2 linked regions of the Drosophila melanogaster genome follow. The protein of the gene in region 2 binds, or shares a complex with, the protein of the main gene of each other region. Each region holds a gene or a part of one and is shown on either strand. Other genes may lie near its edges.

Evidence for each region. Proteins that work in one complex are often made in the same cells at the same time.
Region 1: msl-3 (region 2) and msl-2 share a complex: the UniProt entries of both Drosophila melanogaster proteins name them as parts of the male-specific lethal (MSL) histone acetyltransferase complex.

The regions. Positions count from the first base shown.
Region 1 is NT_033779.5:3,461,535-3,468,382, reverse strand, and holds msl-2 (male-specific lethal 2), read left to right. Parts: upstream 1-2,270; 5' UTR 2,271-2,331; exon of another isoform or gene 2,332-2,464; 5' UTR 2,465-2,743; coding exon 2,744-4,676; intron 4,677-4,728; coding exon 4,729-5,117; 3' UTR 5,118-6,165; downstream 6,166-6,848. Other genes in the region: Pif1 DNA helicase, read left to right, coding at 1-532; ND-PDSW (NADH dehydrogenase (ubiquinone) PDSW subunit), read right to left, coding at 1,129-1,250, 1,321-1,596, 1,967-2,048; CG3246 (uncharacterized protein), read left to right, coding at 6,532-6,613, 6,677-6,848. UniProt on the Drosophila melanogaster protein: Limiting component of the male-specific lethal (MSL) histone acetyltransferase complex, a multiprotein complex essential for elevating transcription of the single X chromosome in the male (X chromosome dosage compensation).
Region 2 is NT_037436.4:7,122,211-7,127,388, forward strand, and holds msl-3 (male-specific lethal 3), read right to left. Parts: upstream 3,324-5,178; 5' UTR 3,213-3,323; coding exon 3,111-3,212; intron 2,994-3,110; coding exon 2,815-2,993; intron 2,749-2,814; coding exon 2,191-2,748; intron 2,133-2,190; coding exon 1,636-2,132; intron 1,581-1,635; coding exon 1,496-1,580; intron 1,441-1,495; coding exon 1,323-1,440; 3' UTR 1,003-1,322; downstream 1-1,002. Other genes in the region: form3 (formin 3), read left to right, coding at 1-747; BBS1 (Bardet-Biedl syndrome 1), read left to right, coding at 3,716-3,995, 4,059-5,126. UniProt on the Drosophila melanogaster protein: Component of the male-specific lethal (MSL) histone acetyltransferase complex, a multiprotein complex essential for elevating transcription of the single X chromosome in the male (X chromosome dosage compensation).

The DNA of each region.
Region 1 (6,848 bases), on a different chromosome or scaffold from region 2:
AATGCTACTCAAGAATATAAACATATCCAATGGACTGGTGAACGGAGCTCGAGGCGTCGTTGTAAGAATGGAGAAGGATCTGCCAGTGGTAAGGTTCAAAAACAACCAGGAATACGTTTGCAAGCACGAAAGGTGGATAATAAAGACCGCCTCAGGAAACCATATAACACGACGCCAAGTGCCACTGAAGTTAGCCTGGGCATTTTCCATACACAAGAGTCAGGGACTAACCCTCGACTGCGTGGAGATGTCCCTTTCCAAAGTATTTGAGGCTGGACAGGCCTATGTGGCCTTATCCCGTGCGAAATCCCTGCAGTCCATTCGCATCCTGGACTTTGACGCCAAGCAAGTGTGGGCCAATCCACACGTGCTGCAGTTCTACAAGGGATTCAGACGCAAGCTAATGGACACAACCATGATACCATTGGGTCCCAAAAACAAGGACAAGAAGCCAGGAGACAAGGCCGCAAATAGCGCTCTGGCTAAGCTCAAAAAGAGTCTCATCAACAAGCCGCTGGTCTCGATTAGCTGAGCTCGAAAGTAATCTAAGATAGCGTAATTCTAGAAAGCTTGAACAAATTTCACTATTGCCTATCTATTGGTATCTATTTCTAAAAGTGTAATTTTTTCTTTTTTTAAGAAAAGCAAATGATTTATGGACTGTGCATTCCTTTTTTTAAAAAATGAGAAATTATGGAACTCTTTTTGAAATTGTCTAAATTTTCGAAAAAGTCTGAAGAATTACAGTGTGAGTTTTATGATTTATCACTATATTCTGTAAACTTATTGCAGTACGCAGGCAAAAACTTTATTTTACTCACTGGAACAACTTAACCAAGGCTCTTAATCTTGAGAACTATTAGTTTTAAGCTAGTCTATAGCCAAAATTCTATATCAAACGCCAATATTAATATTTATTTTAAGAAAAACATGACTAAGAATAAATGCAACTAATAGACAAATGAATTGAAACTGCTGTAGTAATAAATAATTCCTAGTAGCTCTTACCTTATAATTTACACTGAAACAATTGAAAGAAAGCTCAATCCTTGGGAATATCGTTTTACGGCGTGTATATTTTGTTTTAACGGATAATGAAACTAGAAAACATCATCATAAAAGCGGAGTTTAATGGGCGGCCTCCTCCTTCATGCCACTGCCCACTGGTCCATGACGACGCTCCCAGATCAGACGATGCTTCTGCTTCATGTACGCGGTCTTGGCATTGGCGTAGCCTCCCAAGTCGCCATCTATAATGGGTTATATCTCGTTATATATCACATACAACTTTAAAGAAGATGGGTAAGGGATTCCACTCACACTTGATGAACCAGTTCTCGGTGGCCTTCTCGTACTGATCCATCAGCGGCCTGCACTTGACCATGTGATCGGGTGCCTCGTAGAGGGTGCAGTCCTCGAAGCGCTGGCGCAGAATGTTGACAATCTCGTTGTCGACCATGCGATCCCGGCGGAACTGCTGATCGGCCTCGAAACGGCAGACGGCATCGTCCGTGTAGCACTGGTCGATCGTCGGAACGCGGCGGAAGCGCTGGTGGTACCAATTCTGCTTCTGCTGGTTCGGCTCCACAATGCTCTCTGTGGGATTAACACAAGGCGCATTAATAAAATATACTAGCTGTAATGCATTTCTGTTGAAAAACATGATCCCGCTTTGACTAGATGAACTATATAGTAACGGACGGCATTTAAGGGCTGCCGACTAGTATTCTAAGAGATTTAGTTTGCGCTAGCTAGAAATTACTTAAAACGGTTGATTATAAACATTTTAGCATTTCAGCAATACAGTGTAAACAAAAACAAATGGACTGCGAGTTGAGGTTATGTCATTATGTAATTGTCTGGAATTTGTCCGGTTTTTCCGATCGTTGGCCAAAGGAAACGCAAACTTGCAGCATCTGGAGACTCCCATGACCATGGCCATTGGGAATCCCTGTGGACTACATACCACGGAACCAAGTTATGGGTCCATCGATGACATTCAGCACCGACTCGGCAAAACTGGCCATCGGACTGCGCGGTTCCGGCATTTTCTGGCTCTCCTACCACCTGGCGTAAGCGGAAGAGCTGTTAGTAAATAATTTCCAAGGTTTTCCGCTTTCCTTTGACGGAAAATACTTAAAAAACCATATTTACTTGAAAAACTAAGTGTTAAAATTTGTTGTAGGACCGCAGTTCGTAACTGCGAAAATTCCTCAGAGCACTGAAATCAGCTGTTCGAGGTAGTGGTCACACCTATGCCGCACTGCAGCTAGCATGTTCGCACTGGCACACTGCGGTCACACTGGCTTCGCTCAGCAAAATATTGCTTGGGTAATTTTTTTTTTTAGTTGCTAATTTATTGTTTTCAACGCTGTTGCACAGTGTGCAGCATAACCATTAACAATGACTTGAGACCTCTCAAACGTAAACCAATTTTTTTTTTTTTTTTGCACGTGAAACATAGTGATAACGAAGCCACAAAAGTGAAACCAACAAAAAGCGTTCCAGTAAAGTTACCATTAGATAATGAAATCGAGGATTAACGCGGTCTAAGCATGTGTAACTGAGCTCCTACGGGCGAGGAATTGCAGGTAACTAGCCCAGGAGGCACCAGGTAGCGGAGCAGGTGGCGTGGGTCGGACCGACAAGGCACTTACTTGGCCAGCGGAGTCTCACTTTTGGGCTGAAAAACGTAAACAAACAGCGGCGTGCGTACAGTCCCGGGCATAAAAATATAGCCATCATGGCCCAGACGGCATACTTGAAGGTGACACGCATCGCGATGCGCTCCGCTTCGAATCTTTCCAAACGGCGGGTGGAGGAGCTGAACTCCGGGCTCGGCGAGCTACGGCAGCTGCTGTCTTGCGTGGTCTGCTGCCAGCTGCTGGTGGATCCCTACTCGCCCAAGGGCAAGCGGTGCCAGCACAACGTGTGCCGGCTGTGTCTGCGCGGTAAGAAGCATCTGTTTCCCAGCTGCACCCAGTGCGAGGGTTGCTCCGACTTCAAGACCTACGAGGAGAACCGTATGATGGCCGCCCAGCTACTGTGCTACAAGACGCTGTGCGTCCACCTGCTCCACTCGGCATTATTTGGTGAGCTGGCCGGGATGCGGCCCCAGGTGGCCAGGGAGCTGGTGCCTCGCATCAAGCTGCCTCCCAAAACCACACAGGAGTTCATTCGCGAGGGCTCAAACATCTCCGACACTTTTGACATCTTTCTGCCCCAGCCGGATTTGCCGTTCCTCAAGGACATGCCCACATCGCTGCCCGCAGAGACGCCGCCTACGTCGGCGGTCACGACTCCGGAACTGCCCTATGATCACCACCTCAACATCAGCGACATTGAGGCGGAGGCGGCGGCCACAGCGGAGCAGGGTCACTTCTCGCCGCTTCCCCTGCTGCCCACAGGATCTCGCATGGGCATGCTCTCTCACGCCGGGCAAATAGTCATTGCCACCGAGAGCTCGGAGTCGGGCTTCATGGACCAAGCGTGGACGGATCAGGTAGACCTGTCTGGCACGGTTTCGGTGTCCAAATACACAAATAGCGGCAACAACTTTGCTGTCTCCTACGTGATGCCCACTTCTGCGACCACGAAGTTCGATCCACAGGAACTGCAAATCGGCCAGGTGGTGCAAATGGCGGACTCCACTCAGTTGGCTGTGCTGGCTGCCGTTGAGGAGACCGTCGAGACGTCCACACAGTTGACTGTGCTCTCCACCACCGTTGAAGAGACCGTTGAAACATCCACGCAGCTAGAAGTGCTTACCTCCGCTGAGGAACCCAACGAAATCTCTGATCAATTGGCTAATCTGCAAGTTGAGGAATCTGATGAGGCTCTGGTTGAAGAGACCGTTGAAGAGGCCGAAGGGACCTCAATCCCGTCAGAGGTTGTAGCTGAGCACATGGAGGAGGATCAACACTTGGATGTGCACACTTCACAGTCACCTACACAAACCGAAATGGAGGAAGCAGTGGAGGAGCATGTTGCCACAAAAACACAATTGGGTCATGTGCAAACAGAATTGCAGGATGCGGAGTCGTTGCAGAAAGATTTTGAGGACGCAAAGGCAGCGGCTGAAGAGGCGAAGGAGAAGGAGAAGGACCTGCACGCAATCAGTGCTGAGCTGCAGAAGGAGGACAGTGACGAGCCAACACTTAAGCGAAAGAGAACCCGTACTCTCAAAGCGTCACAAGCTGCCAAAATTGAGCCTGTACCGTCTGAGGTCAAGACTAAAGTGCAATCTGGAAAGGGCGCTCTTCGCAGGATTCGGGGCAAGGACAAGGAGGAAAAGGTGAAGCCTCCGAAGCCGAAGTGCCGCTGCGGTATCTCCGGCTCGAGCAATACCCTCACCACCTGCCGGAATTCCCGATGTCCTTGCTACAAGAGTTACAACAGCTGTGCCGGGTGTCATTGCGTGTGCTGCAAGAATCCGCACAAGGAGGACTACGTTGAAAGTGATGAGGACGATGATTTGGAGGATTTCGAAATGCCGAAGGACGTTCCAGAGCCGATGACTCAGTCGGAGGAGCCGGTGGTAGCTGAGCCTAGGCAGGAGGAGAACAGTATGGCGCCGCCAGACTCTTCTGCCCCCATAAGCCTAGTGCCGCTAAATAATTTGCAGCAATCCCAGCATCCTTTGGTGCTTGTTCAGAATGAGAAAGGCGAGTACCAGGGTAAGTTACCTCATCGCTGTGTTAGACCTATCTAACCCTGTTCCAATTGCAGGCTTCAATATCTTCCAGGGCAGCAAGCCCCTTGATCCGGTCACCGTTGGCTTCACTATTCGTGTCCAGCTGCAGCACACCGATGGCTTCGGTTCCCTTCCCCAGTATGCTTATATAATGCCAACAATTGACCCGCCGAATCCACCAGCTCCATCACTTTCGCCACCACCGCCTCCTGCTCCTGACAGGGAAGTCATCGAGCCACCGGCCAAGAAATTCAGGACCAGTCGAACACGCCGAGGAAGGGCCAACTTCTCGGCCCTCGACACGGTGGATGAGCTTGTCAGTGGCGGATCCAGGAGCAATTCTGCCGCTGGCGACAGATCATCGGCCACTGACAATGCCCATTCACTGTTCGAGGAGATCATGTCGGGCTCGGATGACTTGTAAGCAAGACGACTCATCCCTATATGTTTGTTTTTTTATGTGCTCAGTGATGTCCAGGTATCAATCCTTTAATAGATAATTTTTATGTACGTTATGGATGGTCGAATTCAGCACTGAATTGCATCCATAACGTGGTATCGTCTTTGATCCTCTTATCATACCCGTTATTCGTAGAGTAAAAGGGTATACTAGATGTGTTTCCGACCATGTAAAGTATATATATTCTTGATCAGGATCAATAGTCGAGTCGATCTGGCCCTGTCCGTATGAATGTCTCGATCTCAGGAACTATAAAAGCTAGAAGGTTGAGATTAAGCATATAAATTCTAGAGACATAGATGCAGCGCTTGGTTGTTTACCCATGTTGCCACGCCCACTTACCGCCCAAAACTTCCACGCCCACAATTTTAAATTTTTTCTCATTTTATTTCCCAATATCTCTTGGATATCCCAGAAAAATGATGAAATTTCGCGTTCGTATTTCCACTAGCTGAGTAACGGGTATCTGATAGTCGGGAAATTCGACTTTAGCATTCTCTCTTGTTTTTAACTTGTGGTTTCGTTATGCTATATATTCCCCCACTCAAACAACTTCCACTCAAATCAACTCCCAAATATCTTTTAGGAGCATTCTACAATCTGATTTTTGTAATCATCCAGCAAACGTTTCCAAAACTCAATTTTTTTTTAATACGTATTAAGCCAAAAGTCGTATACATAACTATTTAAAGCAATTCTGCAGCTGCAGCAAAGATAATCTATTTAAGAGTAAAGCATTAGTCAAAACTAAAGATTATTTTCGTTCAACGAACAGCGAATTATAGATTGCTTTGCCCAAAATGTGGATGCTGTGAGCTAAAAAAAACCTTTTTTTTTAATAGGCTAAGACATTTTTTTGAATAGGCTAAGACTTTTTTTGAGCATGAATTTTTTTGAGCACGTGAACCTAGGATTAAGAACAACAATTCAAGTAAGCCATATATACCCATATTATATATGCGAACATATAACTATTAAAATATTCAAATAAAAATGAGCATTGCTACTACAGAAAAATGCGCGATTTTCTTTGGGTTTCAAAACCGTTTTCGAACCGTAACACTCTTTGCCTCATGCAAGCTGCTAGTTCATGATTTCTAGAACATCGTTCCTGGGAGTGGAGTGAGTTCCATGAGTGCCTACAATGTGCTGGCCGCTTCCGCTCACTTAAGTCACTCAATCTCAATTCCGAGTTTAATCAGCAGCTCCGCGAGCAGAGTCGCCCTTAGATAAGCGGATCGCCGCCTGCGGCTCATCATTATCTTTTGATTAACGCGCCAGTCGACAGTGCGTGTTTGTTCCGAGTAGAGAACGGAGGCTGGCGCGTTTTCTTCCATTTTCCAACTGATAAGCAGAAGCTCCAGCTAATCCCCGAAAGATGAAGCCGTTGATAGTGGTCGTGCTCGTGGGCCTGATGGCAAGTGGCTGCCACATTGTTCACTCCCAGGAGCCTGGCGATGGTAAGACGAATTCCAGTCTGAGCTCTACCGGAACTAAGCCACTCATTAATGACCTTTGAGCAGCTGTGGAGCAGGAAGCCAGCGAGTCGGATGACGCACTTAAGATCAAAGAGAGTCAGGCCAGCATAGCCGCCCAGGTGGAGGCCATGCTCGTGCACTTTCAGCAGGAGGATCCGCAGGGTCTGCCCGGCGTGCCCGTGCCCGATCCGTTGGAGGTGCCCAATGTGAAGAAGAG
Region 2 (5,178 bases):
TTGGCCGATCGCCTGCAGCAGGCCAGGATGAAGAGTTCCGGATCCTCAGGATCGGCAGCCAGCAAGTCACAAAACCAAATCCCTGCCACCCAAACTGCAACGGTCAAGAGGAGCCTCTCCGCCAGCAGACCGCTGCGCATGCCCAACGGTCAGCCGTTGGCCAGTGCAGCTCCGCTGAGATCCGCATCCACTGTGAGACGCTCGCCGCAGGAGCAACAGGTTCTAGCCGGCGTGGAGCGGAGCAGTTCGAGAAACAGTCTGCGCTCCTCGCGATCGTCCATCAACAGTGGAGCCTCCACTCAAACTGTAGTGAGACGACTGCCCGCCGTTCAGCGAGCGGGAGCCACTGTGTCCGTTGACTCCTCGCCCAGCAAAAGACCACTGGCCGCCCAGAATCTGCGACCTACCCAGGGACGTGGAGTCCCCGCCAGCAGGAGCAGCAGTAGCGGGTCGAGTGTGGGACCCAGTGTGATCTTGGTGCGCAGCAAGATGTCCAACACGGCTCCGAAATCGAGTATCCATGGTAGCACCAGTTTTAAGGAAAACCAGTCCCAGTCCCAACCCCAGTCACAGTCCCGAATGAGCGCCGCTCGCAGCGTGGTGCTGGTGAAAAATGCCCTGAACCAGCAGCAGCAGGCCAGGATGAGTGCGAACCCCAGTCCGCAGCAGAGGAGCACTAGCAGCAGTCGATCCGTGAGCAGCTTCATGCGACCCACGGCCAGCAGTGCCACCAAGCGACAGAAGTGAGGGCCGGCAGTCCAGTCCAGTTCAGTCATCGTCCAAGTTAACGTCCCAAGTTTACACATGTTACAAACGCGAATGCATCCAACTCCAAGCCGTCCAAGCGACAATTTCGAATTTCTAAGCAGGATCTGAAACACAAATCAGCACACACATAGTTGTTACAGTTGCAATATTTTGAGAAATTATACAAATCTTAAGAATTCCCTGCACATTCCAACTCAAGGTCCGCAAATCCTTAATACAAAAGACAACAACTTTCCAACTCTTAAATATATTTGAGCACAAAAAACAAGGCATGACAAAAATACTAGCATGTACTACTCAACTAAAACTTAGGTTAAGCAAAAAAAAAAAAAAAAACAAAAAAAAATGTTAAAATCGTATTTTCAATATTTAACATATATAGTTATAGGCATTATTCGATTATACGATCACATTAGGAAACTTTTTTATAGAAGTGCGTTGTTTACAAAGTGTGTAGTTGAAGAAACCAAAACGACAATTACAAATCTTTAAATAAAAGAGCATAAGCTTTAATCGTAATAATAAATAAACTAGATAACTACGATCAACTAAAGCTAAGCAGCAATCCCATCCAGGGAGTCCAACAGCTCCCGCTGCAGATCTTCCTGGGGCAGGGCAGTGGAGTTAACAAAGTTTTCCCTGTCGAACCACTCCCTGTGGTTCTCCAAGTAGCTGAAAAACCAACAGATTAGCTTCGTGATGGACTAGGGAGGGGTCTTAGACTTACTTGATGAAGGCGTCGAGGTGGGGAAGTAGATCTTCTAGCTTCTTGTTGCTGATCGGCGATGCGTTTAAGAACATGGGCATTTTAACTGCAAGTACCATGAATTAATGTGTGTTATAGAATGCAAGAAAGATTGTACATACTCATTAGCCTAACCAGGTGGGGAGCGCCAAAGACCATGGACTTTTCTGGCGGCGATTCCGCTGACAAAAGCCGCCACTTGAATGTTTCGTTCAGAAATCCACGCATCTCCACGGGCAGTTTGTAGGCAGCCGTATATGGGGAAGTCCTCTCATAGGCCTGCGCAGTGTTTTTCCCGCTGGCGGTAACAATGTAGAGCAGGCATTTTTGCAACTGCTTCTCGTACTCCGGACCGCCGATATTAATAACTCCGATCTGTCCATTGGTGTCGCCCGACCCTTCTACCACTGGCGTGCCGTCCAGACCGATCAGTTCCGTGTCACCGCTGGGATTGATATACTCGTACGACTTGTTCAATATTAGGCTGCAGTTGCGCATGTTGTCGTCTGTGAGGTAGTTGTGGACATACTCCTTCTCCTCCGTATACAGCAAGTGGTCATCCACGTGGAACTCAAAGTAGATACGCAATCCGTCTACCACCTCCTTCAGCATGCAGACACTGTTAATAAGTAAGAGTATAAGTGGGTTGTTAAGTCTGATATTGAGTGGTAACCAACGTGGACATAACGCGATCGTATTCCCGCTCCATTCTGGCATTGCGACTCTGCGTGTTCCTGGCCCTCGAGCTGTCCTGTTTAATGCTAATGGCTAGCTCCACGGCCTGCTGCTTGACGAAGTTTTCCATGATGGTCACGATGGGCACGCGGGCGGGCAGTGCGTGCTGTTTGCCTAGTACCTTGATCATATTCCGATCGTACTCTATAAGCTCTCGCAATCGCTCGCTGACTCGCATCATAATGCGATCCTCCTGTGGCACATGGTTATAGACCGATACATCATTTATGGCATTGTTATAAAAGGTCTCTGTTTGTCTGCCCCGGTTTCCCTTTAATCGGCCATCTCCGGACGGGGGTTTTTCCTTTCGCTTGCCACCGCTGTTGTCCCGCGTCCGGTTGCCCGCTGCTCGTGGAGTGGGCGCCATTTCGTGCTCCGCCTCAAGATGTCCCGTGTCCATTGGAACCACTATTGGCTCCTCAACGTGGGCCGCTTTTCCGCCGCGTTTCTTCTTGGCCGATGGCTTATCGGGTGTGCCCTTGTAGGAGTAGTCACCACGACTGTGCGAAAAAGAAGGGGGAACTCGTTAGAGAGGTATTCCACGCATGTCTAGGGGGTTATCTTACATTTGCAGCTTGGCAGCTTCGGCCAGCTCCCTTTGCAACTGGCGATTCTCCTCGGTGTCTTTCAATAGAACGGTGGCGCGCACACAGCGATCGTAGGATGGACGCCAGCCCTGGAAGTGAATCTTGTACTCGTAGAACCTCAGGCCATGCTCGTTCCGGCGCTCAAAGACGTTTAGCACCTGCGGCATGTACGGAAAATTGCGGGAAACGGAAAATCATTTGTGAAAACTTCGCCTACGACGTTTGCTTGACATTTCAATGCGCGCGCGTGTGTGTGTGTGTGCATGTGTATTTACCTTGCTGGTGTAAAGAACACGGGCCTTCGATTTATCCGGCTCGTAGCAAAGGACTATCTCGCCCTTGTGAAAGAGCGGTGTCTCGTCCCTTAGCTCCGTCATTACTTGCAGTTAAATAGGGCCGTAGTCAGTCACTTATGTATACAAAATGTTAAATATTGAATTCAACTGCTGGCGTCGCTGAGATGATATTTATAACGAATGTTTTTTGCGATAAGCAATTGACGTGGGTATCGAATATTCCCTCGCACTTATCGATAACACATACTGTCGATGCTTGCACGTCTTTAGCAGGCCGGCCTTAAGTGTGACCAGACAAAATGCATTTTTGGCGGCCAATTTAAATAAAATTTTCTATCATCAGTAATTTGATCACAGTTTTACCTTTTGCCAAATGATTTTTTAGTTATACGTAGCTTTACCCTGTTAGCATTTAAGAATAATGCTGACGATCATTTTGTGTTTTTAAGAAAAAACCCAAATAAGTAACAAAAAATGTGCTGTCATCCCGGTTGCTAAGGACAAGAAAAACCAAAACAAAAGCATGTCCTGAATCACCTGTTCGTTTTCACACTGTGCTGCAAATTTTTCACCAAGATCCTGCCATGGCCGGTGCTCCCAACTGGCTTCACGTGGACACGGCGGAGGAGGCTCCTCCACCGCATCTCACCACCCTCACCAGTTGCATGGCCCTGAGCGACGTGCAGTGCGACGGATATGTCCGGCTGCTGGCGGCGGACATTTCACTGGACAATGCCGCCGAGGAGCCCACTGCCACGCTGAAGGTTTTCCGTGGTCTTAAACTCAAGCACGAGCAGCCACTGCCGGGGATTCCAGCGGCCATTGAAAGTCTCTACATCGACGAAACGGAGCCCAAGACGCCGGGTAGAAATAACGTTGCATTTTAATATTTTTAAATTAGATTCCATAATGAATACAATTTTCCAGTAATTGCCGTGGCCATCGCTGAGTCAGTGCTCTTCTATCGTCACCTAAAGCCATACTTCAAGTACACGATTCCCGCACAGGACTCCGAGGATCTGGAGCTGGAGGTATGGCGAAAACTGCCGGTTGTGAAGCCAAGTGCCCATCCCGCCCTGCTTGACTCCCTAAAAACCATAGACCACTCCAAGCTGTCGCGGAAATCGCAGCGACTTCTGCAAATGGGCGAGCAGGAGCGGGAGCACTTCATTGCCACGCACAAGGACTCCCCAGTGGGTCGGGTTGGCAACATTGTGGCCATGTGCTGCATAAAGCGCATCTCCAGCGATGCCAATCCCCCGTCCCACTTGGTCCTGGCCACCGATACCGGGCACATCATGATCCTGGAGCCGCAGGGCTTCAATTTGGTTTACCAGGGCAAGGCCTGCGATGATGAGACGGCCGTGCCGAGCCTGATCTCCGTGCAGGGAACCTTTGAGACGGATTTCTGCATCGTGGTGGCCACGCGAAATGGCGGTGTCTACCTCCTGCGGAAAAGCCAATCGGAGGGACAGGAGATCTTCAAGCTCGGCATCCCCCTAACCGGCCTCCTACTGCTGCCCATCGATCAGACGATAATCGCCTCCACCATGGACAATCGCTATCTGTGCTACTCAAAGCGGGGCAAGCTGTTATACCAGGTGCCCATGTCCGATCTACCCGTTTGCCTCCTACCGCTGCCCTTGACCCATCTGGGACTCACCCTGGTGGCCATTGCCCTTAGAGGAGGAGTGGTCAAGTTTTATTTGCAGCGCTACCTCGTCGACGAGTTTGTTCTCGAGGAGACGGTGGATGCCATGCTGTACGGACGAATGGGCATGGAGGATCACGTCCTCACGCTCGTTACTCAATCTGGTGGTATCGTGGTTAAGATCCTGAGACGTGTGTCCCGCTTTGAGCCCAAGGCCGGTGATTTGGCGAACAAGCGAGCATTGGGCGATAACAAATCCATCGTGGATGCCTCGATTTTGGATAAGCCCAAGAAGAGCTCCATCTTTGTGGAGCAGGCGGCAAGGGAGAAGCAGCAGGCCAAATGTAAGTAACCCTCTTATTTTCATAACACAATTTTATATAGTTATTGTTCTAA